4 linked regions of the Drosophila melanogaster genome follow. The protein of the gene in region 2 interacts with the protein of the main gene of each other region in a pairwise test. Each region holds a gene or a part of one and is shown on either strand. Other genes may lie near its edges.

What was found.
Region 1: the proteins of phol (region 2) and sv interact in a two-hybrid assay, tested with the Drosophila melanogaster proteins (one large-scale study listed by BioGRID).
Region 3: the proteins of phol (region 2) and CG3726 interact in a two-hybrid assay, tested with the Drosophila melanogaster proteins (one large-scale study listed by BioGRID).
Region 4: the proteins of phol (region 2) and CG11906 interact in a two-hybrid assay, tested with the Drosophila melanogaster proteins (one large-scale study listed by BioGRID).

The regions. Positions count from the first base shown.
Region 1 is NC_004353.4:1,086,254-1,092,296, forward strand, and holds the start of sv (shaven), read left to right. Parts: upstream 1-2,544; 5' UTR 2,545-2,809; intron 2,810-6,005; 5' UTR 6,006-6,032; coding exon 6,033-6,043.
Region 2 is NT_037436.4:9,451,918-9,458,791, forward strand, and holds phol (pleiohomeotic like), read right to left. Parts: upstream 4,365-6,874; 5' UTR 3,821-4,364; intron 3,726-3,820; 5' UTR 3,623-3,725; coding exon 1,613-3,622; 3' UTR 886-1,612; downstream 1-885. Other genes in the region: ghi (ghiberti), read left to right, coding at 63-116, 208-253, 381-526; CG3437 (uncharacterized protein), read right to left, coding at 4,481-4,763, 4,849-5,385, 5,445-5,618, 5,677-5,732; CG3552 (uncharacterized protein), read left to right, coding at 6,072-6,440, 6,494-6,874.
Region 3 is NC_004354.4:5,914,693-5,920,665, reverse strand, and holds the start of CG3726 (uncharacterized protein), read right to left. Parts: upstream 3,570-5,973; 5' UTR 3,039-3,569; intron 1-3,038. Other genes in the region: Shmt (serine hydroxymethyl transferase), read left to right, coding at 4,197-4,403, 5,886-5,973.
Region 4 is NT_033778.4:19,280,320-19,286,274, forward strand, and holds CG11906 (uncharacterized protein), read right to left. Parts: upstream 3,643-5,955; 5' UTR 3,464-3,642; coding exon 3,233-3,463; intron 3,161-3,232; coding exon 2,453-3,160; intron 2,393-2,452; coding exon 2,050-2,392; intron 1,989-2,049; coding exon 1,811-1,988; intron 1,749-1,810; coding exon 1,304-1,748; 3' UTR 1,099-1,303; downstream 1-1,098. Other genes in the region: AANATL5 (arylalkylamine N-acetyltransferase-like 5), read right to left, coding at 4,232-4,900; CG10474 (uncharacterized protein), read right to left, coding at 5,254-5,955.

The sequences.
Region 1 (6,043 bases), on a different chromosome or scaffold from region 2:
ACTAGAATCTGGACGGATAACTTCAATTTTTTGATATCTATAGTTTTATAGGTTTTGACTTTTATAAAGATGGACCGACGGACAAGGGGACTGACTGGCATGTATCGGTCGTCTACGTTAGTGGCACGGGTTAAAAAACTTTATCCAAGACATTGTTTTAATTGGAAGAGTATATAAACCTTAGTTTGCCGATATCATGTTATTCTGGTTTTATGTGCTATCGACTTGTTAAAGCCCCTTCTGTCTGTATGTATTAACTTTCGGCTCCCGAAAATCTCCGGAAATAACTATATGTATTATTCCGGGAAAGAGTATACCAACAAAGTAAGTAGTATAAATAAATAGTACATAACATAATATATACAGCAGTAGCATTTCCAGTACCTAGCAGCCAAAAACAACCAAAAGAAACGGCGGAAAAGCTGTCTCGGTTGGCTTGCAGACCGTGAAAAGCCACGAGCCACGATTGAAATACCGAATTTCATACCAAAACATATGAATACCGATTGTTTATATCAAAAGCTACCAGGCGAATTCTACAAAAATATTTATATACTTACATATACACACATACACACATATGAACACAAATAGTTACCCACCGTTTAGCATGCGGAATAACCAAAGAAAAGCCTTCTAAATGAAAAGCTACTAAAAAAAATTTTCGAATATTTTTTTAGAGCTTATATTGGTCAGAATTCTTCATATAAATACATACATATATAATAACATAATAATAATATTTAAGATCATTGAACTTTTGCTAGTGACTTAACACCAGTTTTGGTACTAATGCACGAATTAACCACGTAAGGAGTATATATAAGCAGAAAGGAAAATTAACAGAGGCGCGATCGAAGGGTAGGTTTTTTCCGGTTCGGTCTAACAGGTGTTTCACAAATAAAGCGCGGGCAACCGTCCAAGACATTTCCTTCGATCGCAAAAGAATTCAAGGGATGACGGTAAATGAACACCTGAATATTCTGTTGTGTACACTACATAATTCTGTAACATATTATTATACCCGTTACTCGTAGAATAAAAGATAGATTCGTTGATAAGTATGTAACAGTTAGAAGAAAGCGTTTTCGACCATGTAAAGTATATATATCTTGATCAGGATCAATAGCCGAGTCGATCTGACCCTGTCCGCTTGTTGCTTCCAGAGACAAAGACGCACGGCAACGTCACTCTTTGATTTTTCAATATATTTAACAATATTTTGACATAAATGATAAAAGTTAAATCTTATTCTGATGTCTTTTCAGTCCCCTTTAAAGAGGACAAGTGGCTAGTAATATTGACTAAGTATGTTTATAAACTAATAGATTTCATAAATGAAAAAAAACTTTGTATTTGTATTTGTTTTTTTTATACGATAGTAACACCAGTCAGCTCTAAATTTTGAAACGGTTGAGTAATCTCTCTTCTCCCTTTCGTGTAGTTTGCAACGGTAGTCGAAGATTGCTTGGCACGCGCCGTCTTCTCTTTAATAGTTTGAGTACCAGCAGCCTGCTTTAGATCGTCGTTCAGGGATGCCAATTTAACTTTTTCTTGGTTTCACTACTCTGACGAAAATGTGGATTATTTTTGTATGCATGGAAGCATAGAAACAATATATGTATGTGTATATCATAAGGTAGTGCCGACTGTACTCCTAGTACACCTATGTATATTAAACGATTTATTTACAAACGTATATTACACATTTTCAAATATGTATGTATAAATATTTGTTCGCTTGTCAACCTGTAGAATGCAGGTCACTCAATGTAACAATACGCGATCCAGACGGTTAAAAGGGGGTTGATTACTTATGTATATAAACTGACTTAGCTTCCGTTCAACAAAATGTAGTTACTTCAAATTTAATACATAGTCTTGCGTTCACTTTTCGAGAGCCTGTTGTTAAATGCCAAAAGATAACACCTTTATATGTATCTAATAATAGGAATATTAAACCGGAACCAATAAATATAGGCCTTTAGTGGAAAACAATTAGACAAATATGGGTCAGCTGGACCTTAGGAAACTTTAAGCAGTCAGGACTGTAGGGTTATGAGATTGAGGTTTGACAGATATAAAAAAGAACGATCATAATCAGGGATATACCAAACGCTTCGAAGCGCTTTCTTCTTCCTTACAACGAATTTAGAATACCCATTTCCTATACGAGTAACGGGTATAAGCACTCCAACACTCTGATCATTAAGACCAAACAGGGGAAAACAAGAATACCATCTCATCCCTTCTCATTCAGTGACTTTAACTAATTTGTTCTCTTTCCTTTTCTCTATCACTCGTTCTGTTTGAAGCGGCGATCGTATTTCAAACCCAGCTTTTGCATCCGAACAACACGCTATGTCTCCCGATTAGTCGACCGCCAGTTGAGTGCGAATGTAGCCGACCAACCGTAAAGCCGCCTTGGGCCAAGTTTTGAGAGCGACTCAAACATATAAGCCATCATAAACACACTCAAAAAAGTGGTCGGCTGAGTTTGAGCGATGTAAACTGCTTCCGTCGTCCATTGCCATTCAACAATTTAGTTTCGCTCGAGATCTCTTGGCGTACGCTTCAAGATCCACCTGGAAATCGTGTTGCTTCGTGGATTTTTAGCCAACAGGTGGTTCGCGCTGTCTTTTTTACCTTTCAAGGCTTAGATTCCTTGACTCAGTGATGTTGTTAGTGTATAAATTCGTATTTGAACGTTTTCACTACCTTAACTGAGTGACGCTAAATAACTAATAATTTATTGAAATTCTTTAAAACAATTATATGTTAACCAATCTTTATAAAACGAAAATATTCAGTGAGTAAACTAATGCATAGTTTTAAATATATTAAGGTAAAAATAATTCCTTAATCATCCAAGTTATATAACATTAAACACTTAAGGCGCTTGAGCTCGGCTTTAAATATACTCCGAATTTGAACAGCTTATATTTACCCACGCTCCTGACCTTGGAATACTTGTTTTCTTTGTTTTCCTCGACTGTCTTAACTAAAAATTCTGGCTCCCCATAGCTATTATTCGGCTGGAGTGTGTGAAAATACAATTATTTTTCCCACTTTTAATTTTGTTGAATTGAATGAAGTATGGGTTTTATTCTGCCTGAATACCAGTTGGTAATGAAAATAACAAATTGTAGAAGCTCCAATGACCTCGTAACAGGACCGCTGTGCCCGACCGTGACTTTTAACTATATACTTCCAAATTCATTTAAAATTAATTTATAAAAAAAATTTAAAATTAATTAATTTTTTATTTATTATTATTATTATCAACAAGAAAATGTGTATATCGAATTCGAGCCCTTTATTCGAATTCGAACACAACAACAAAACTACAAAACTTGTACTACTAAACTTGTACTAACTAACTACTACCTGTTACTAATAGAGTAAAAGGGTACACCAGATTCGTTGAAAAGTTGAAAGGTAGATGGAAGTGTTTCCGACCATATAAAGTATATATATTCTTGATCAGAATCAATAGCCGAATCGATCTGACCTTGTCCGTATGTCCGTGTGTCCGTCTGACAGTCTGTCCGTCCGTATGAACGTCGAGATCTCAGGAACTACAAAAGCTAGAAGGTTGAGATTAAGCATACAGATTCTAGAGACATACACGCAGCACAAGGTATTGCCACGCCAACTGTTACGCCCAAAACTGCCACGCCATTGAAATATATTTTGAAATTTGTTCATATTTGTTTCCTAAATTTCTATCGATTTGCCATGCCCACTCTTACGCGTACAAACCGTTTAGAACTGCCACGCCCACATATTTGCAAAATGATATTTTTTCATATTTTCTTTAGTTTTTGTAAATTTATATCTACATTTTCTTTTTGCAACGCCCGCTGTTACGCCTACAAGCCGCCCAAGACTGCTACGACCACATTTTTGACCAAATTTTAAATTTTTTCTCATTTTTATCATTAAAAAAATAAGAAATGCGTTAGCTGAGTAACGGGTATCTGATAGTCGCGGAAGTCGACTGTAGGATTCTCTCTTGTTTTTTAAATTAATTTTCCTCGTGAATTATAAAAGCGGTGCAAGCTTGTTTCATACCTGTGCCACGCAGGCACTATATGTATTTTGATTTTTTATTGATTTTATTTTTTTGTCATTCTAATTTTTATCGACGAACCCCAAAATGTTCTCATAAAAAAATGGCTCCAATGTTATTAAACATTGCTGCTACTAGCTGATTAATAGGTATCTGATAGTCGGGGAACTCGACTTTAGCGCTCTTTCATTTTAGGCTATTTAGGAAACAATAAATGTAGAAAGAAAGCAGATGGCCTAAACGAACACATTTATTCCCATACCCATACACGTAGCTGACTCGATCATTTAGCTATATTGACCCTTAGGGGAGTGTCAGTCCCAAAAAGGTCAATTAACAACAGGTGAATAAGTGCTAGCAACCACGTTTGCGCGGGTTAAGGCTTCATTCGGCGGGAAGAAAGTGCACCTTGCCCTGGATAACAAGAGCGGATAGTGAAATAGTGAAATATATGTGTGCCATTGAAAGGTACGAATCACAAGAAAGATTGCTATAGTCAAGTTGGCCGACTATTAGATACCCGTTACGCAGCTAGTGGAAATGCCAAAGAGAAAATTTCATAAATTTTGGCTAAGCGATAAATATTGTGGAATAAAATTACTAAAAATTAAAAAAATGCTTATAAGTCTAAGCTCTTTGTTATAATAAAATTAATAAAATTATGAAAAAATATCCAAAAATTCTTCAAAAATGTAATCGAGGCAATTTTGTTTGTGGGCGTGGCAACAGGGGGGTATGTCTCTAGAATCTGTATGCTGAATCTCAACCTTCTAGCTTTTATAGTTCCTGAGATCTCGACGTTCATAGGGACAGACTGGCAAGGCCAGATCGGCTCGGCTATTGATCCTGATCAAGAATATATACACTATATATAGTCGGAGACGCTTCCTTCTGTCTGTTACACACTTTTCACAAAATCTTGTATACCCTTTCACTCTACGAGTAACGGGTATAAAAATATCATAATTTGGTCTGTTACTCGTAGAGTAAAATTAGTTGAAAAGTATGTAACAGGCAGAACGGATCGTTTCCTACCGTATGAAATACATACATTCTTGATCAGGATCAACAATCTGGCCATGGTCTGAACGCAGTGATCTAGGTAACTCTAATAGAAAGAAACGATTAAGATTAACAAGCAAATTTTAGAGCCACCTTCGCTGTATGATTTTTTTCCCAGCACTCACACTAGCTGAGTAACGAGTTTTTGATAGTCGAGGAAATCAACTTTAAAATTTCTAGTTATTCATAAATATGCCAAATCGGGATATACCATTTATATAAAAATACATTAATTTAGTTCATAGTTTCGCGTTTTCCATCATAAAATGCTCTTATTTGAATGTATCACTTTAAAACTTTCTTTATATATAGCTCGGTTGATTTAGTTCATTTATTAAAGCCATTACGTGTTGATTCGTTGAAAAGCAGAAGTGTTTTCGATCTTATAAAATATATATTCATAACTGTCTAGACGAGTCGATCTACAGATTCTAGTTGTAGTCATACGGCAAGATTATTTTAGATAATGAAGGCGTCCGCCACCCAACGCCTATAAACTTTCAGAAGCGTTATGACACATTAAAAAAAGAAAATTATTTTTTGTCATTTTACTAGTTGTGTTACCAAACATTTTGACTACGCCCACTCTATCACCCACAAACCGCGACGATAAGTGAAATATCTGATAGTCGAGCCATTCGACTATAGCATTTCCTGCTTGCCTTTAAAACAGTTTGAATGTCATTGCCGAATAAAATACATAACATTTGTTGTTAATTACACTTTAAGCAGAAGAATTTGATGAACTAACCAACAATTGTTTTGTGCAGACATATCCATTCCTTGCATAACTGCATAGGTCAACTGCTTTGGCTACGCTAATATCTCGTTGCTTTCATAATAAAAGAACCCACAATTTTCTGTATTCCAGGAACTTATACATTTTGTTGAATCTTTGATGCTTATAAT
Region 2 (6,874 bases):
AAACGCGCTGCACCCCTATTGTTTGTCCTCTTTTTAGTGTTTTACTCGATTCGGCACCCGCAATGCTTGACAACCTCGTGGAATTCGCCAGTTACTGGTGGTTTCGATACCTCATGGTATGTAATGGTCATAAAATTACGCACATATTCCACCTGAGAAGCTGCGCTCCACGGGATTTTGATTTAAATGAACCCCATTAACTTGCAGGTCACCGAGCTGTACATGGTTGAAAAGTGGGAGCGGATAACGATACGTGAGTGTTAATTGCTGTTAATAAAATAGCACACCCTCGAACTAGTTGGGAATATCCGACGGATTCGTCATGCTTCTGGAGAATTTATACGCTTATCAGGGTTATTATTGCTCTCGGTTCATTGCAGACGTCATTTTCATGGTACTCTTCTGCGTTTTCTGGTACTTCAACTACTCCGTGCTGCTCTCGCTGGCCGGATTGATTGGCCCAACAAGTGCCTCCATCGCGGATATTATTCCCGGAGTTCAAGGACATGGGCTCAAGGTCACCTAAAATACCGATCAGACCATGCCCAGACCAATCGTGTGTACTGTTCTCCGTTCCAATATCCAAAATAGCCGCGTATCTGTACCTCGCCGCGATGCTTTATCTAATCCGCACGCGTTTATACACCGCAATCAATGAATGGAACGTAGCTGTAGGCGACACATGTCCAAAGAGGCGATCTAATCGCTTGCTGATCCGAATCTGAAGTGGACAACACCCGGCGACTGTCCATCAATAGCTGCCTCACCGTTTAATGTAGTTATCTAGCAGTAGTTACAAGTTTAAAGTCAGTTAATAAATCTAACGCTTACACAATCGCACTGTGAAATAGTTAAAAAAAGAAATGATAAATGATATACGCAAGTGTTGTTGCATTGTTTTCCTGGTTTATTTTTGTTTAATTTTGAAGAGGTATTTCCCTTGTTTATTCCGACTTAACTGATGTGCTTCCATTTGTGAATTATTGTTAGCGCCAACAGACGTTGAACATGCTAAATCCGTACTTCAATGCTCTAAGTGTTATAATTCATTACAAAAATATATAGATAGCCTATGGTGTATGCGTATTGAATATGGTAAAACTAGTTTTGTGTATTTTTCTTATTTTTTTGTTTGTTTTGTTTTCGTAGAAAAGAAAGTGCGCGTTTTGTTATTCGAGCGAAGATCGCACACGATTAGTATCAGATCAAATTGGGGCTTTTTAAGGTGACAGTTTGGCTGAGTTCTTCGGGGATTACGGTTCAGTTTTGGTTTTGCGGGGGGACTCACTTAGCCTACGGTACAAGCTAAACTCTTAGAACTGCTCTTCATCCGTGAAGGAAATTAATTAATGGCTACCATCTAACTTCCTTTTGCACTGCAATCCTATTTTGTTAGAGAATGAACTTACACTACTTACTTAAAGGGCGGGCAGCGGGCGGATGTGTTCACCAGGTGACAATCTTGTCCGGCCGCTCCGCTCGTTACAGGTTACAGATACAGATAAAAACTGGCTACAACTAACTGTACAATAATGCCTTCCGGAGCCAAAGGAGCTTTAATATTTTAACCATCTCATGCCAATACCTGCCACACATTAAAGCGCACTACTAGTTAGGATGTTAGGGACGTGCCATCCAGCAGCACCGACGCCACCTCCTCGTTCTGTTCTACGTACACTAGACGAGGATCCTCGCCAAACTCCAGTCGCCCGTATCTGGCCACCAGCGGTGTCTTGTTGTTGCTCACTTGCGGTGCGCGCGGCCACTTCCTTTTGGGCTTCGTGTGCGTCAGCATGTGGGACTTGAGGTTCGTTGACTGGGCGAAGCACTTGGAGCAGCCATCAATGGGACAGTGGTAGGGCCTATCGCCAGTGTGTATCCGTACGTGGGTGCGCAGATTGAAGTCCAGCGAGAAGCGCTTGCCGCACCCCTCAAAGGTGCACTCAAAGGGCTTCTCGCCGGTGTGCACCAGCTGGTGGCGCTTTAGCTTGGAGCTCTCTACAAAGCTCTTGCCGCAGACGTTGCACACATGACCGCGCGGTCCGTGCGTGTGCATGTGCTTGCGCATGGCCGAGTGGTTGCGAAACTCCTTGTTGCAGCCGCGATGGGTGCAGCGAAACTTTGGCTCCTCATCCTCTTCGCCGGCCGCGCCAGCTGCTCCCATGGCATTACCAGCCGTCTGATTGGCCACTGCAGTCGGTAATTTGGTTACAATTGTGGGTCGTTGGGGTCGGGCTGGATTGCTGGAAGCCACTAGTGGCGGTGGGGGATTTGGTGTCGCCACCTGAGCCGCCGCCGTGAGTTGCCTCTTTGTCACCTTTGACTGATTTCCCGCACTTTTCAGTCGCACATTGGTGCTGCTGTTCTGGAGCACTAGTTTTGGGAGAGCCGGCTGTGGATTCGGTACACATCCGTTGACCTTCGATAGCGCTACCGACACAGTGGCTGGACCTGGTCCCGGTGTCTGTATCAGCTCCACATTATTCGGCATGTTCTCGATAAGCTCGATGTTACCATAAGCTTCTTCCAACTGGTTTTCCGCATAGATCAACTGTTCACTTAGCGGCTGGCTGTCCTCCTCGCCTTTGACATCGCCCATAAATGCATTAACCACCTCCTCCACATCCGTGACCGCAGAGGCGCTGAATGGATCGGGTAGGATGACGTACTCGTTGCCGATGCCATCGCTTAAAACATCGTGGTTGATCATGTGCTCGTCAATAATAAGCTTTGGCATGCTGGGTGATCCTTCATTCTGGGCGGCGGAGGAGGACGTCACGGATGTGGTGCCAGCACAACCAGGTGGTTCCTCCAACTCCTCCTCCTCGTCCTCATCCTCCGAGTTGAGCGAGGACCAAAGGGTGACATTGAACTCATCCTGCGTTATGCGTATGGGTACCTTTGTTTGCTTCCAGCGCTTGGCCGCTGAATTTCCCATGGGCCTCTCGACGCGACTGCTTCCAAATAGCTTAAAATCCTGCAGCTGGCCATTCGAACTGTTTGAATCCTCGGTCGCCTTCATATAGAAGTCGCTCTCGAGCTGCTCCTCCTTGATGTTTGTGGCCTCGATGGTGGTTAGCATCTCGGAGGCAATCTCGAAGGCATTTGTCGTAGCCGGCGCGGTAGCCTCATCATCCTCATCGCCATCGCCATCGCAGGAGGATGTCATCTGCTGTCCATCCTCCTCGATGAATTCCTCATCGTCGCTGGTCTGCTGCATGATGATCGGCGGCGGCAGTGCATCTGCCGTAGCCACCGTGACCGAGGTAAGTCTGTCCAGCCGATCCACCGGATAGTATTCATAGTGCTCAAAGAATTCGCCTGAGTCTACGACGATATTAGCCTCATCATCATAGTCGTCGATGATCTCCTCGATCAGGAAGCTCTCGCTTTCCTCGCCCATCGGATCGCCCGCCAAAACGGTGTACGGATCTTGCTCGACTATGGTAGCCGCCGTAGGCTGGTGTGCATGAGTGAAGTATGCCGACGACGGGGCGGAGTGCAGGGGCAACGGTACCGCCGCAGCGGCCAGCGATAGATTCTTCACGATGGGCGCTCGTATCTGATGCAGTTGAGGCTGGAAGTTCCCTCCGACGCCGACGTGATGATGATGACTTGTCATCGCGGCTGCTCCGTCTGCCTGTCTGTGTGCCTGTATCTGTATGCTTGTATTTGTGGGCGCTCTTGCTTCGTGCGTGAGTGTTAGTGTTGTGTGTGCGAGCGCGCTGCGGAAAAAGTGGGCAATTAGTATCTGGCCAAAAATCCGTATTATGTATATATCTCTATATATTCGCCAGACTTCCAAAGTGGACAAACGTACGTGTTTTCGTCGGTATTGCTGCACTGAACTGGCCTTTCCCTCCACCTCTTTTTCCACTTTTTTGTGGCCAATGCCTATCGTTTATTGTGCGACGGCGGCGGCAGACGGCGAATGATGCGTACCGCTCGCTCCGCTCCGCCCGCCACTCTCCTGCTGCCCAATGGCGGGTTAATTCTCGCTTTGGATGACCACCTCGATCCCGCTCACCTCGGGCAGTGTAAATATTTTGAATTTTGCCGGTTAATATGGCGGAATTGTATTTTCCAGAAACGGCTCGGTACTTTCTCTCGCGTTGCGTGTGTGGGGTGTGTGTGTGTGTAGTGTGCAGCGACAGGCGCCACAATGCAACCCTGCGCGCGCTTTGTGTATATCTTAAGCGGTTTATTCAGCGGAGATTGGTTATTCTCTTCGCATTACTTCGCAAAACAGCACAAATGTAATCTTAACTACTATTCAAAAATTGCATTTTATTAACCTCCAACTGGCAAACCATTTATTAGCTGTAAATACCGCGGCGTTCTGTCTTTCGATAAGCGATAGGTTTGTTGTTCTGCCACCAGGGTTGCCACCCGACAAGAAAACAAATGCGCAATAACAATAAATTAATCTCCATGGCTTTACTATTATTTCGAGCTATTTACAATTGTTGCTCATAAATAACTAGTTAAATTTCTTTAGCAATAGAACTTCTGGAATATAAATACGCTTCAGCTTCGACTCCACAAAGCGCTCGTGTTGGGGTGTAAATACCTCTGCATTGTGGTTAAAATCAGTCTTATTAAATTGCACCGCCTTCCTATCCGCTGTTAAGGATATATTATAATGCCGACATTGGTCCTGCAATCCTGTTGGCCCATCGAACAACAGTAAACGCAACAAGTAAGGAACCGGCACCGTAAGCTGTTTGTTGTTGTAGGCATGCGTGAAAATCTGCAACAAACTCCTGCAAATATACATACATACATATGTATTTACATTAAAAATGCATCATGTCAATAAGAGATCCAATAGAAAAAGTTATACTGTACCTCCTTATCACCTGCAACTTGGCGGCAGCTACCGCGCACAGAATATGCGGCAATTGTGGCACACCCATGAGCACTCTATACAAATTGCCCTGTTGGAAGGCCAAACAGATCCCAAAACAAAGCTTAAACGTCGCATCCCGACGCACATAGTCCGGTAAGGTGAGGGCGCGTGTAAAGGACTCGGGAGAACCCAGATTAAACAATTGATACAGGCTCTCTATGAAGCAGCGCCGCTCAAGCTCACGAACGGTGGGTTCTCTAGATGATTCCAAGTCCTCCAGTTCTTCGTAACAGCAAAGCACTCCCGTGAGGCACTCTTGCAAATGCTGATTGCATATCTTGAGATCGAACTTCTCGATGGGCTCCTCACACAAGCGATAGCGACTATATGCCAGAAACATCACAATGGGCTCTAACAGGCAAATCTTCTGACTGGCATCGTACATCTGGATCACGATCTCCCGACGCACCGCCCTCAATCGATCGAATATGAAGTCGTAAGCCACATTGTACGGCTTTCGTGTGTCCAGGATTATGCTGCACAGTATATTAATTATCAGATTTAACTTGGCTAACTAAGCGCCTAATATACTTGCTCCTTGAGCAGATATTCCACTGTTTTGGTCAATGCCGCTTCTGTGCGCATTTCCTTGGGCATGGGCATCTTGACATCGGCGGCGGAGCGTGTAAACTCCTTGACCAGGACTCCTGGCTTGTTCTTCTGGCCATTTTTTAGCTCGAAATAGTGCAAAAGCTTCTCGCGAATACGCCTGAATGTATTAAACGGTGTTATTATATTAAATTCGGGTTTAAATTTCGTTTACCTACATTTTCGCCTCCCCATCGGGACAGAAACTTTCGCAAGATCCTCGAACTTGGGCCATTTGTTGATGAATGCAGCCAATTTCAGCAGCAAACAAACCAGGGATGCAGGTCTTTTGGATCAAAGGCGTAGCTCAAATTTTTTAATGGGGTTCAGAAAATAAAATATGCTTCTTAAATCTCGTACGCCAGCTTCTAACTAATAAAATTCCGAAATTGGGACTTTATTAGGATCCATATTTATAAAAACGAACGCGCTGACTCGTTTTTTTTTTTAACCCTCTTGCCACGCCGCTGAAGTCAGCAATCAGCTGTCTGGGCGGTCTGGGTTGTCAGGTTGTCTGGGCCTTAAAATTGTACTAAATTTTCAGTTTGTTTTTCCCTGCCCAGCACAAAACGAAATGTTTTCGCGGCATTTCGCAGCCTTCTTTCGATTCAACCGATATGTTGCCCAAAAATACAGCAGTTTTATAGCCGCCGGCTTTAGCAACAGGTTTTCGCTGAAGGTTGCAACTCTGCTGCCGCTGGTAGTCCTCCGATCCGCGGATTGCAGGCAAAAAGAGGACCAGGAGGTAAAGCGACCGGTCCGTAGGCGAACCATGAGCAAGGTTAAGTACGAGACGAGTCTGGAGGGGAGGGCGCAGCTCTATCTCAACGCCATGAAGGTGAGATGGGACCAGCTGCACAAGGTGCCCGGGCTGTTTTCATATCAATTGGAGAAATCCCCTCAGAGCCGGAAAATACCAGGATACTGGGGCTTCTATGCGGAGGTGAGTGTCATATTCTTGTTCTCTAGTAATATTTATTGATTCTTGTCCTCCAGCTTAATTCAGATCGAAACCGTAAGCGCCGACGTCCCCAGACCATCGAGAGCCTCAATCCCACCTTTAAGCACATGATGTTCAACTTCAATAAAGTCGATGCCCAGGAGGTGATCATGACCATTGATGATGCACACGGCAGTCCCGAAGTTCAGATGATCATAAACAAGAGCCCAATCACCAAATATCATACTTTGATCTGCCCGGAAGTAGGTAAAAACCATACCCAACGGATTACCCGTGACGCTCTTCAGTTCTGCATCACCTTTATGCGAAATATCGATGATAAGGATATGCGGATGGGTTATAATAGCCCTGGAGCGCTGGCATCTGTAAATCACCTTCACTTTCATCTTCTCCACATGCCCCAGGATTTATATATA
Region 3 (5,973 bases), on a different chromosome or scaffold from region 2:
TTTTGGTTTTGGGTGATTTTTGTAGAGTTCGCTTTTGTTCCCCATTTGGAGTGTGCGTGTGTTTTGTTTGTTTTTATCTTTCCTATTTGAAAATGTTTTTTTCGTTTTTTTTTCTCTGGCGGTTAATTGCATAAAAATAGAGGCCGTATTTGTGTTGCCTTTTTTTGTGATTTTCGATCGCGACATAATTTGATTTGAAAACCTTGGACAAACAGAGAAACAAAAAGCGAATGAAAGAAACTGGGAGCCAAAGAATTCTCGACTTTCGAAGGGCGATTATTTTTCTCAAATTTTCTCTATTATTTCCCATTGTTTCGCTTGGCTTTATGCGACGCAAATAGTTTTTATCTCTTCGCATTGCATTGATTTCAACCTTTTTTTTAAATTATTATTACTACACTCTTTTTCCCTTTGGAGCCCCAGTATTTTCAGCACTTCTCAAAGTTATCAGCGAAATTTGCCTAGCGTTAGTTTTGTTTTTTTATTTTTAGTGTCTCGCCCCGCAAATTCATATAAATATAAATATTTATACACATATGTGTGTATATTTATGGCTTCTTTTCTTTTTATTTTTTGTTATATTTTTCCGATTTGCCGTCTGCAGTGCAGTTTTTTATTGTTTGTTTTTAATTATAAATATGAGCTGATATCAGAGAATGAGGGAAAAAAAAAGTGGGGAGCTCAATGAAAAAGAAATGGTTGCAAAATCAAACCCTTTTTCGGCGAAATTGAAATTGAAAACGCTGTGAATAGATTTAAGGAACTTTGTCGGCATTTGACAAACATTATTTACGCATTGCAAATTATAGTTATCATTTTTCATATATAGTGCGCAAAACATAAACAACCCCAAAATTTACGTAAGCGAATTTTATTTGCCAACTACCAAAATGAAAATAAATAAACACATAGAGTAAACTAAACTTAAAGCTGGTATGACAAAAAATGACAACAACAAAATAATCACACACGAAAAACAATATTTCGTGTCAAAATTTGTGTCGTTTTTTGCTTTATTTCCTACTGCCGCATTGTTTTTCTAAAGAATTTTTATTTGGTTGCGGAATAACACGAAAATAAGTGTGATTTTGTTATAAATACTTCACGGCTTTATTTCGACTCGACTGTGGGAATACCCAAAAGTTTTTTACATGATATATCATATATTACGAATAATTTATGATAATGAAATCTAGATGCAAAGCTTTCAAATCTCGAAGCCCAGGTAAATATGCATTTATTCGAAATCGATTTGAAAATGTTTTATATTTCGAATTTGGTTTTGTTGGAATATCAATCGTTGTAGTTTTAGACTAATTTTAGGCTTTATTTAAGCGTTTCTCCCACATTTATAAATTAATTAATTATGTCCATAGGTATGTATATGAACATATATGCATATATGTATGTATATATTCCAAATTTGGGGGCGTGGCACGTCGGATGCTGACCTGCCCTTGTTTTTTTGCCTTTGGCTTGCTTGTTTGTTATCGCTTTTGTTCTGATTTGTTTTTGGACAATGAACTTGAAATTTGGAGCACGCGTTTCACATGTAATTGAAATGTGTGTGAGTGGGGCGAAGGCGGGTGGTGGGGGGTCGATGAAGATGGGGAGCAGAGAGCAGCGAACGAGAGAGAGAGCACTCACGCACACCAACACTAGCGCACAGAAGCCAGGGCCGGATCAGGGGGTAAATATTCGAGTTAAGTGCCATTAAATATCTTAAATGTTTTACGTAATTTTGTTGCTCAATAACCTATATATTTTGTTAACTTCATGTTCTTCTTGCAAATCGGTAGCTTGGTTCAAAAATTTCCAGATTCGCTCCTGATACGCTCTCTTCCTCTCTCTCTCTCTCGCTCTCTGCCCCCCCTCCACACAATCTTCCACACACTGATTCGCTGTTTTATTTTTTTTTGCGCAGGCGAATGCCGCTGTGAAAACAAAAAACCGAATAAAACAGCCGACAAAAACAAAAGGAAGGAGAAACGTTGACGGCGACGTCACTCAAATGCGATTTGCAATTTTAATTTTTGCCGTTCATGTTTTGCAGTTTTTGTTCATATAATTAAAGTTGTAAAAATGAATTGCCATACAGCAAAAAAACGAGAGAAAAGTAAATTGCAAATTGTAAATTGCTTTTGCCATAAAGGCGGAAATGCCTCTCTCAACAACAAAAAAACTCGCATTCAAATAGTGCAACAAAAAACTAAAAACAAATAAGCCGAAATCGACAACAAAAAATAAGGCTAAACAGGTGAAGAAGAAAACTAAAAGCCACAGAAATAACAAAAACCGATAAACCAAAATTTAAAACCAGCACAAAAAATAGCCCCAAAACTTAAGATATACAATTGTGTTCGAAATCGTAGTAAAGCTATTTGAAGCGCCACAAAAATTTACATTTTTTGTAAACATTTTTAAGCATCGACTATTATTTTGGGTACAACTGTAGCAGATAAACAACAGCCCGCAAAAAACCCTAATTATCAAGCTTAGACAAAAACTACAAAAAAAGCGAAAAAATCACACAAAAAATGTAAATTACTGGCCTATGAATTTAATTAATTTTTTGCAACTCTGTAGGTTTTTTCCCCTCTTTTTTCATTTTTATCTTGGCGATTAGTTGGCAGCAACAATTACAATAAGCGAAGAAAAAGCGCCAATCGTTTCCTGAGCGAAAAACAATTGTTTACAATAATTGCATGCGATTATTATTTATGTCAATTTCGAATATTCAGCTGGCAAAGTCAACAAACCCGGAAACCTTCGGCGAGAACAACGGAATTTTTATCGTAATATTTTGTTCGCCTTTTTGCATTCAACAAAAAAGAGCACGCACAAAACAAAACATGCAAAAAAAAAAAGAAGCACAAAATATATGATTGAAAAACAAAAACGATAAAAAACAAGGGGAGAGCGGCGAACAAAAACAGAAAATCGCACAAATAACACACAACTTTTGTTTGGCTAAAAATAAAACGACGTTCGTTTTGCGTGTCTTTTTAGCACATGAAATAAATAATTTGTTTTCTCACCTTTTCTTTATGACTTTTCGCGCTATCTTTTCTTTTGGCGTTTTTTTCCCCCCTCGAATTTCTTTTACTTTTCCTTTATGCTTTTTGTTTTGTTATTCGAATCGAATTGCACACGCAGCAGAATTGTGTCGAAAAAAATTCATTCATTCATTTAATTTCTGGCTTGCCATTTTTGTTTCATTTCTATATTTTGTTTTTTAACATAAAAAAAAATAATGCGAAACAGCGAATTCAAAACGCGCGCTTTTTCTTTTGCCTTGCGAGCGGATAACGGTAAATGCGCACAGCAATGTTTTAACATTAAACACTAACCACTAAATTGTCAGGAAATTCACCAAAAATAAATGTTCTGTTTTGGAATTGTTAAGAATGTTAGGCTCATGTGTTTGTTAATATTTTCCAGGAATTTTCTTTTAGCGGCGCAGCGAAGTGAAACGTACCGCGGAGGAGACGGATTTTTGAGTGAAAAGAATTGAACTTTCGTTGTTGCTTATATAGACTTTGGCTGGCAGCAATGTTGCTGGAGAGAGATGTTGCACTCTCCCAATCGGTTGGCAACTTAAACCGGTTCGCAGTACCAGCAATTTGGCGGGTACTTTAAATGCCTTAACGTTATCGCGCGTTTGATAACTACGTACATTTTAAGGGATTGAGAGAAACGCATATTATGATATAAAATAAAGTGTTAATATTAATTGAAGAGGCACACACGCTTAACATTTCCACAAATTGTAAATATTTATACAAGAATTGGTAGCTATCGCTAGCGTTGCCAGACGGCGCCAAAAGCTTCTAAATCCAGCGATCCAACTACCCAAACAGCTGATATCTGTTAGCCTGGTAAATGTTGTTTACCAACGTAACGCGTGTTTTCGCTTCGTTGTATTTTCGGTGTCGAATATTTTGGATGCTGGCCAAGAGATAGCGCAGCGATCGGGTCGGAACTCTTGGGCGGACTTATCACTGGGTCGGTCAGGGGTCACGGGTTATCGTTATCGCTTATCAGCCAGCGGCGGCGTCATCTCAGCGCCGGCGACTCTTCTCACTTTGCGGCAGTTCCGATTCGAACGCAGCCGTGTGAGTACTAATAATTACCAAGGATTGTTGAAAAACATCCACTAAAATCTATAAAATTCTGCTTATTACAGTTACAAAGACATGCAGCGGGCGCGCTCTACACTGACACAAAAGCTTCGGTTTTGCCTTAGTCGGGACCTGAACACCAAAGTTGGCAACCCGGTTAACTTCGAGACTGGAAAGCTTAGCGGAGCTTTAACTCGCATCGCCGCCAAAAAACAACCATCACCAACGCCATTCTTACCGGCGATCAGACGATATTCGGACTCCAAGCAGAGCACTTTGAAGGTGAGTTCGCCGGGAAAGTCCCAGGCAAAGTGAAGGGGAGGGTGGAAAAAGTGTGGCTAATTGAACCATTTGGGGGACTCGCATTTCGATTGCCTTTAATTCTTGCAGTGATCGCGGTGCTCAGAAAGTTTGTGTTTCGCTTCCATTTGCGGCTCCTGGCATGCCCGGCTAATCGCCATGTGCTTCATGCGTTTCATTCAGCCATGTGTTCCCACACTGCACTATCCCTACGTGGATGGCATGCCATCGATCCGCTGAAAGTGTTGTTTATAGTAGTATCATTGTTAAGTACCTATGTACATGTGTAGTTTAATTGAGATCTTATAGCATATGTACATATATGTACCGTATTTGTATCAGTGTACTGTTAGTGTATTCAAAACGTCGCCATGCGCCAAGTTTGAATCTTTTTGATTCACATTCGCTACCTCGGCCTGAAACTCGTTTTTGGGCCTACTCGAATTTCTCGGCTGTTTGCGCCCTATCGAGCATTGTTGTTGTCATTCTCGTTTGCACTTGTCTAAATATTTAAACTGATAACGCAAAAAAAAAAAAGAATCTGGCATTGGCCATTAAATCGAATTTCCCATTCGTGTGGGCAGATTTGTATATAAATATACATACATACATATGTATATGCATTTTGCACTCAACTTGTGGCCAGAAATTAGCATTCAATTTAGTGGGAATCACCAGTTTCCAGTTTTTGCAGCTAAAATTTTGCGTGTCCAATTCATTTCTGCGTTGAAAATAGAAGAATCTTCCAGGGATTATTAGTTAGCAGCTGGAAACGTTGAACAACAAAATGGTACTAGAGATACGTAATTTGCTGGAGGAAGCTACATACATATAAACTTGTCCATTTTCTGCCAATATTCTCCATTTCGACTATATACGTACGTTTCCCGATCTTTCCGAAGTGCGTCAGCTGCAAAGGGGGGGCAGTGTCCTTATCGTCGTCCGGCGACTTGAACTGGTGACCCAGACGGATGATAATCACTTGACGATAAGCGGATCGCAAATAGACGCGCTCTCCCATCCATGGGGGGTCGCATTTTCGATCATGGGCGTGTTATTGCACCCAAGTCACTTGGTTTCCCTGGTATTTGGCCAATCTAATCGTGGATCGGGAATAGGGAATCGGGGGAGCGCCTCTCGAGTGGTTGCCATGGTGCATCCAGGCGTAATCTTCGCCTTGGCGATAGCTGCGCCTTATCGCCGGAACTTTTCCAATGCTATTTGAACCCATTGAACCCGTATTTGTTTGTAACTTTTCGCAACCATCGGCGGCGGGAACATAAATATTATTTTTGTTTCGAAGCGTTATTAAAAACATGGCATAAAGCTGACCAGGCAGCCGTTCATTTTCCACGGTCCGCACATATTCAACGATCGTCTTGGCGAGCGCATCGCACATTGCACAGCATTCCAATTACTATATATATATATATATAATATACAATACTATATAAATCCGAACAGAATATGGCCGATCAGAAACTGCTGCAAACCCCGCTGGCACAGGGCGATCCGGAGCTGGCCGAGCTGATCAAGAAGGAGAAGGAGCGCC
Region 4 (5,955 bases), on a different chromosome or scaffold from region 2:
ATCCGCACCAGCACCTGGCACCCATCGAAAATCAAACCCACACACTAAACTAAATTGTTGTCAGCATCACTTTGTGCCTAAAAAAAACAGAAATGTTAGGATATAGATAGTAGGATAGGACAGCATAGAATACAGATAGGTACCCTTAGGCTAGGCACTCGTAGGCCATCTTTGGAAACCAGCTAGTTGTAGGCCTTAAAACAGTGTTACTCCACCATCCCAGATGCCGGCCAACTGACAAAACTAAGATATGTGTGCATATGTAAACCCACTTACATAAGACTGAAGGCGGAATCGGGAGGCGGTGGAGGAGCTATCTAAGGACAGAGCAGTAGAGGCTCCCATCAGAATGGGTTAGCGGGTTAGCTACACCTTGTACAACTTTGTTAAATGCCAGTGATTTGTTTTAAAAATTATTAGCACTAGATTATTTATAACGACCATGCATGTACGTGGCCTTACTTTTATGATTTTCGAATCGAAGAGAAACCAGAAGATCCCACTTGAACAGAACTACCTCAAATAGCGTATCTTTGTTAGCCTCATGTTATCCTGTTAGCGAGATATTTAAATCGTCCTGGGTTGAATTTATAAGACTGACACCGACTCAAACGTACCACGAGCAAGAGCACACGCATTAAAATAAAATAAAATAAAATTATAAACTAAACTTAAATACGAATCGAGATCCTTAGTTGAAAATCTGTAAGTTTCCCGCAAATTGATTAGTTCTAAGGCCATCAACTAAACGTAAGCACTAAAACTAAACTATTTATAAGACAAAACAAAACAAAACAAAAAACAACACACATGAAAACATGCGCTGGGGGCAATGCAATAGGCTCTTTAATTATAAACACCTACACTTATGCAACTTATATAGTCGTACGGTCGATAATGTTAAATTGTTATACGAGTAACTCTGTACATAGCATCATAGTCCACACATACACATGCGAATTATAAATCTAGTTTTAAGTATTCCGAATTGTACTGCAATTTAAATTATCCCTAGACACCCGACTTTCATCATGTAAAGATCAGCGAAGGAACGCGAAATAAACTGACTGAAGAATCAAATAACTAATGCTCTTTTATCTGACAACGGCACAATATTTATTATAAAAAATATGCATATCTAAATTTACTAGAGTTGATTATACAAAGAGAACGCAATAGTCGAGTTCCTCGTTGCTCGACCAAAGAGTGTGCATATTAGCACTTTACACTCTACTAGTAACGTGTAGCATGACCTATTCGAATATATTGCAGACGAAGAATGGAGCTCACAACAAGTTCGTAATCAGTGACATCCAACGCAGTTCGGATTTCGCTCCTCGAAATCACATATTCCGATAGCGAAACGAAAGGGTTTATGTTGAGGCAAGTGCATGGGCTGCGTGGAGGGCATCGGTATTCGCGGAATATAGAACTCACGTTCTTCGTACGACTTGACTATTCGAGAATAGTCCGATGACCGTGGCACATGGCAGTTGACAATCGAGAGCGAACGATCAATGCTGATGAGGGGCTCGTCGTTGGGACTGTGCCCCAGCTTTTTGCAATGGGCCAGCAGCTTAGCCTCGCTAAGAAACTCCAATCGGCAGAAATTGCAGTGGTAATTGATCCCTTTCCTGTGCAGCTGGAAATGCCGATCTAACTGGTGCTGCAACTCAAACTCTTCGCGGCACTTATGGCAGATGTAGAGGCCGCGGTTCTGGAGATGCATATGGTAGTCTAAAAAGACCCTGCAAGGAACACAAATAAACCAATAAACTACTTTCTTTAAAAAGATCGCTGCCCCACTTACTTGCTGGTGAACACATCGCCGCACTTATGACAGTAAAACCAGCTCATCTTCCAGTGCTCCATGTAGTCGTGCTTCATTAGAGCCACTAGGGTGTCCGTCTGGTAGCCACAGTCAGGCGTGAAACAAGTGAATGATTTCAGTCGCACCTGCGTCTTGAGCAGGTCCAGTAGGTAAAGATCTGAAAACGGATAGCAAGACTTTTTGATACAGAACGATAACATATTTCAAAGGATATTTACCATACTCCTTGTCGGTGGTCATGTGCGTTTCCACCATTCCGTAGTCTCCGTACAAAAGGGAGAGATTACCAGCGCTGTTGCTATTGCTGCGGCTGTGGTTAACAATCCAGTCGCCAGTAAAGTTCATACGTCGCGCGTACATGGCATCCTCCTCGCCCTCTTCTAGTTCCTCCCCACCGCTTTCTATCTCTTCATCTTCTTCGTCCTCTTCCTCCTCATCCATGTCGTACCTATCCCAGGCTTCGGAGCATGCCCGTGAGCGAGAGCGCATCGAGCATGCCCTTGGCACCCGGGAAGTCATAACGGTTTGGCCAGCTTCCTGCTGCTCCACAATTGCTAAGGCCTGTACAGAAAAAACGGAACATATAAGTATATCATTTTTGGGGGATACATGCATACTAACCTCCTGCTTGGCCTGGCAGATGGTGTGATGCATTTCCCACTCGTACTTCGTGTCCAACTGGGCTTCGCACAAATCACACGGATATCGCTGCTGATGCTTCATTCGCTCATGCTGTCGCTTACTGATTAAGGTCTCAAACTCTGCGTCGCAATGCCGGCAGTAGTATATGCGCGATGATCGGATGGCTCTGGATGGCGCCTCTTCATCATAGCTCGCCTCATTTAGTACCCGGCATTTGACGCGCGATGGACGTGGCTGCTTCCTGCGCGTTTTGGAGCAGCGCCTCAAGTGCTGGGCGTAGTAATCCCGTCGAAAATAGGCCCGACCACATTCGTGACACTCCAGCCGTGTTCGCCATTTCCAGCCCTCCGCATGCTTCTCTTCCGTTTCCTTGGCCGATGGAGAATATGGTTGTTGAGCGAGGTATACTTCCAGCACGGAGCAGGAAGAACGCGAGCGAACGCTCTGCCCGCTGTGGGCCACCTCCTCCTGACTCTCAATCAAGGTGGTCGACACCTCTGCATCAGCAATGGGTGGACTGTGCTGGCTGGGCGATGTCGTGGTGGTTGTCACCTTGGTGGTTTCACCACCGGAACGCTGCAGCCGTTGCATGCGCTGCATCAGGGATCGAGTGACCTCCGAGTGCATGTTCAGCTTGCACACGCACTCCACGCAAATGGCCTTCAATGTGGATCGGATTACATCTGCCTGATAATTAAAGAATTCGAATTCAAAGAGTTGGCATGGATGTCGGAATTGGATGATGTCTTGAGTACCCACATGAATCTTCCAGTCGCGACTTAGGCGACGTTGCATTACATGGTTGGAGCGCAGATCCAAAAGCGCCGATGCCTTGGCGGCACCACAAACGGTGCAGTTGGCATCGTTGGCCTCCGCTTCCCGCTCGGCGCCTACGTGGTTCTCATCCTGATCCTGCCGATTGTCATGTTCAACGGAGCAATTGCCGTTGGTGCTGCTGGGTTCCGGATCCGGAGCCGTGGCATCCTGCATCCTGCTGTAATAGGGGCGCTACTGGATAACAAATGGCACACTCAATATATTGCACTTGATCCTTATGTCATTACTGTGCCGCATTAGATGCGTGAGTCGAAAAACTACACTCAAATCCGCCGAATTCCAAGTGTTTTATCTAGTAAATATTTTTTGAAGAGCAGAATGCAGTGTGACCGTTGTTGTCATTGAGAAAATATACCACCGGACACTTTAAAGGTCTGGCAGCACCAACCGGTTATTTCAGTTAGTTTTAAATTAAGATAATTCAATTTTGGATTCGACATTTTCTAATTGCTTTATTTAATACATATAACTTAGCGAATATAATACATATGTACTTTCTAAAATTGATCACATTAGTGAGCATATCATTTAAGGGAAACACAAATCAAACAAAATTTCTATATGTACCACAAAACAATACACTACAGAAATAAAATACAACGCACTTTCGAAACGAGAAACATAAATTTGACGACTTTAAAGAAAAAGTACAATTGTGAGCCCACAAGAGGCTTATGCCGTTTGCAATCATCAAGTGGTTTACATAGCAGTGAAAAGTGCTTACTTCGTACTTGATAAATTCATAATCAACACAATCTGTGCACAATAAAGTAGAGCCCTTAAATTTTATTACTTTATTAGCTCCATCTGGACATGAATTTTCACCTGGGCGGTCTCTATCAATTGTCAAGTCCAAAGGTTCTTGCGATATAAGAAAACACCCCTATTTGTTACTTAGTTTTGCGAATTCGTACTAATTTATTAAAGTTTTGAGGCCAAGACCCGAATGTGGGTATGGGGCGCTGGTGGATTATATATCGGTCGGCCCTGTTCGTCCTTGTAGTCAGCATAGGCCACCGAATGGATGCACTCACATCCCGCTTTCATCGCCGATCGGGAGGAGTAGTGATTGGTGCCACTGCCGATGAACAGACGGAGTCCCCGCAGGCGACCCAATTTAAAGAGACATTTGGAAAGTATGACCAAGATACCTCTTTGCCTCATTGAGGGGTGAACGGAGATGACCAGCAGACTCAGGTAGGAGGAGACTCCGAAGCGTTCGAAAATGTTGGCTTCGCGCTCCACTTTGGCTATAAATTTCCTGCTGCGACCCAAAGCATTTGGCTCCATTTCCTCGGCTTCCTTGTGCTGCTTGGCCATTTCGATGGGATCCATCGTCTCCGCCACGGCAATGCCAACCAGTAGTCCCCCGTTGTTATCGTCGAGTGCCACTATGGATAGTCCCTGCCTGATCACCGCCAGGTATTGCCTATCCACTTCCTCCTCATGCTGCAGGTGAATGGGCTCCTCGAGACCCATTCCCATGGGCTCGTCGTAGTGAAAGTAGTCCGTCATGAAGGTTTTCACTCTTGGATAGTCGTCCTCCTTCATAACTCGTACGGTTATGCCATCATTTTGACTAAGAATCATGTTGGACTGAGCAGCGATGTTTGGTTTCCCGGCTTGATAAACTATGGTTCATTCTACATGACTGCAGGAGCCTTTTAAAGAAACCGAACTGAGTTATCAACAAATACAAGCATAATAACTTTTATTATTTTCTATATTCAGATATGATATGATAGATAATGTTTGCGTGCCATTTGCAAAAAATGAACATGCTTTTATTCAGCCTTTTAATCTACCGATAGGTCTAATCTGAGGCACATTTTCTTTTATGCAGGAGCTAATCGTAATTCTTCTACTCCTGGTTTCAGATACATTTTAAAATGGCTAAGTGCATAACAATTATAAGATTTATAGTCTAACAAAATTAGTAAACATTACCAAATAACTTGTCTATCGTCTTCGGAAGGAGATTTCTCAGGATTCGCTGAGCACTCAACCGATTCCGTGCGCACCGGTTGTCCCGGACTACTGACCATATAGGCAAACTTTCCATTATCCCTGGCCATGCCAGTACCATGGCACCTGACTGCGTACGTTCCAAGCCGGTTTGCAACGATAACGGCGACTTCGAAATACTTTACGTGCTTCTGGATTCGCTGGATGACCAACTCGACTGCCTCCGCCGGTGTTTTGCCCGCCCGCATGGCCTCCACCGCCAGGAGAGAGGGCAGGAAGCGCATAAGGATGTCTCCATCTCCAGTGGTAACAGCGGCGCCCACTTCGTTATCCGCATAGGCAGCGGAGCCGGGAATCGAGGCGTCGCCAACACGTCCGGGCAGCGTGTAGCGTAGTCCGTTGGTGGAGGTGCCCACATGGATGTGACCCTCCTCATCGATGGCGGCCATGGTGATGGTGTCGTGGTTATCGGGACCAATTTCGATCCGATCCGATTGCTTGGCATTCGGATCCCATGTGACCAAGGGCTGGTAGGGACCGCAGGAGGTCCTCGGATCCGGGTGGACATTTCGCCAAAAGTTTGGCTGGCAGTTGTGCCTCGTCCAATTTTTCAATGACTCTATGTTGTCCTCAGAGTTTAGTGATTCGTACTGCAATCCCATGGCATTGGCGAACTCATC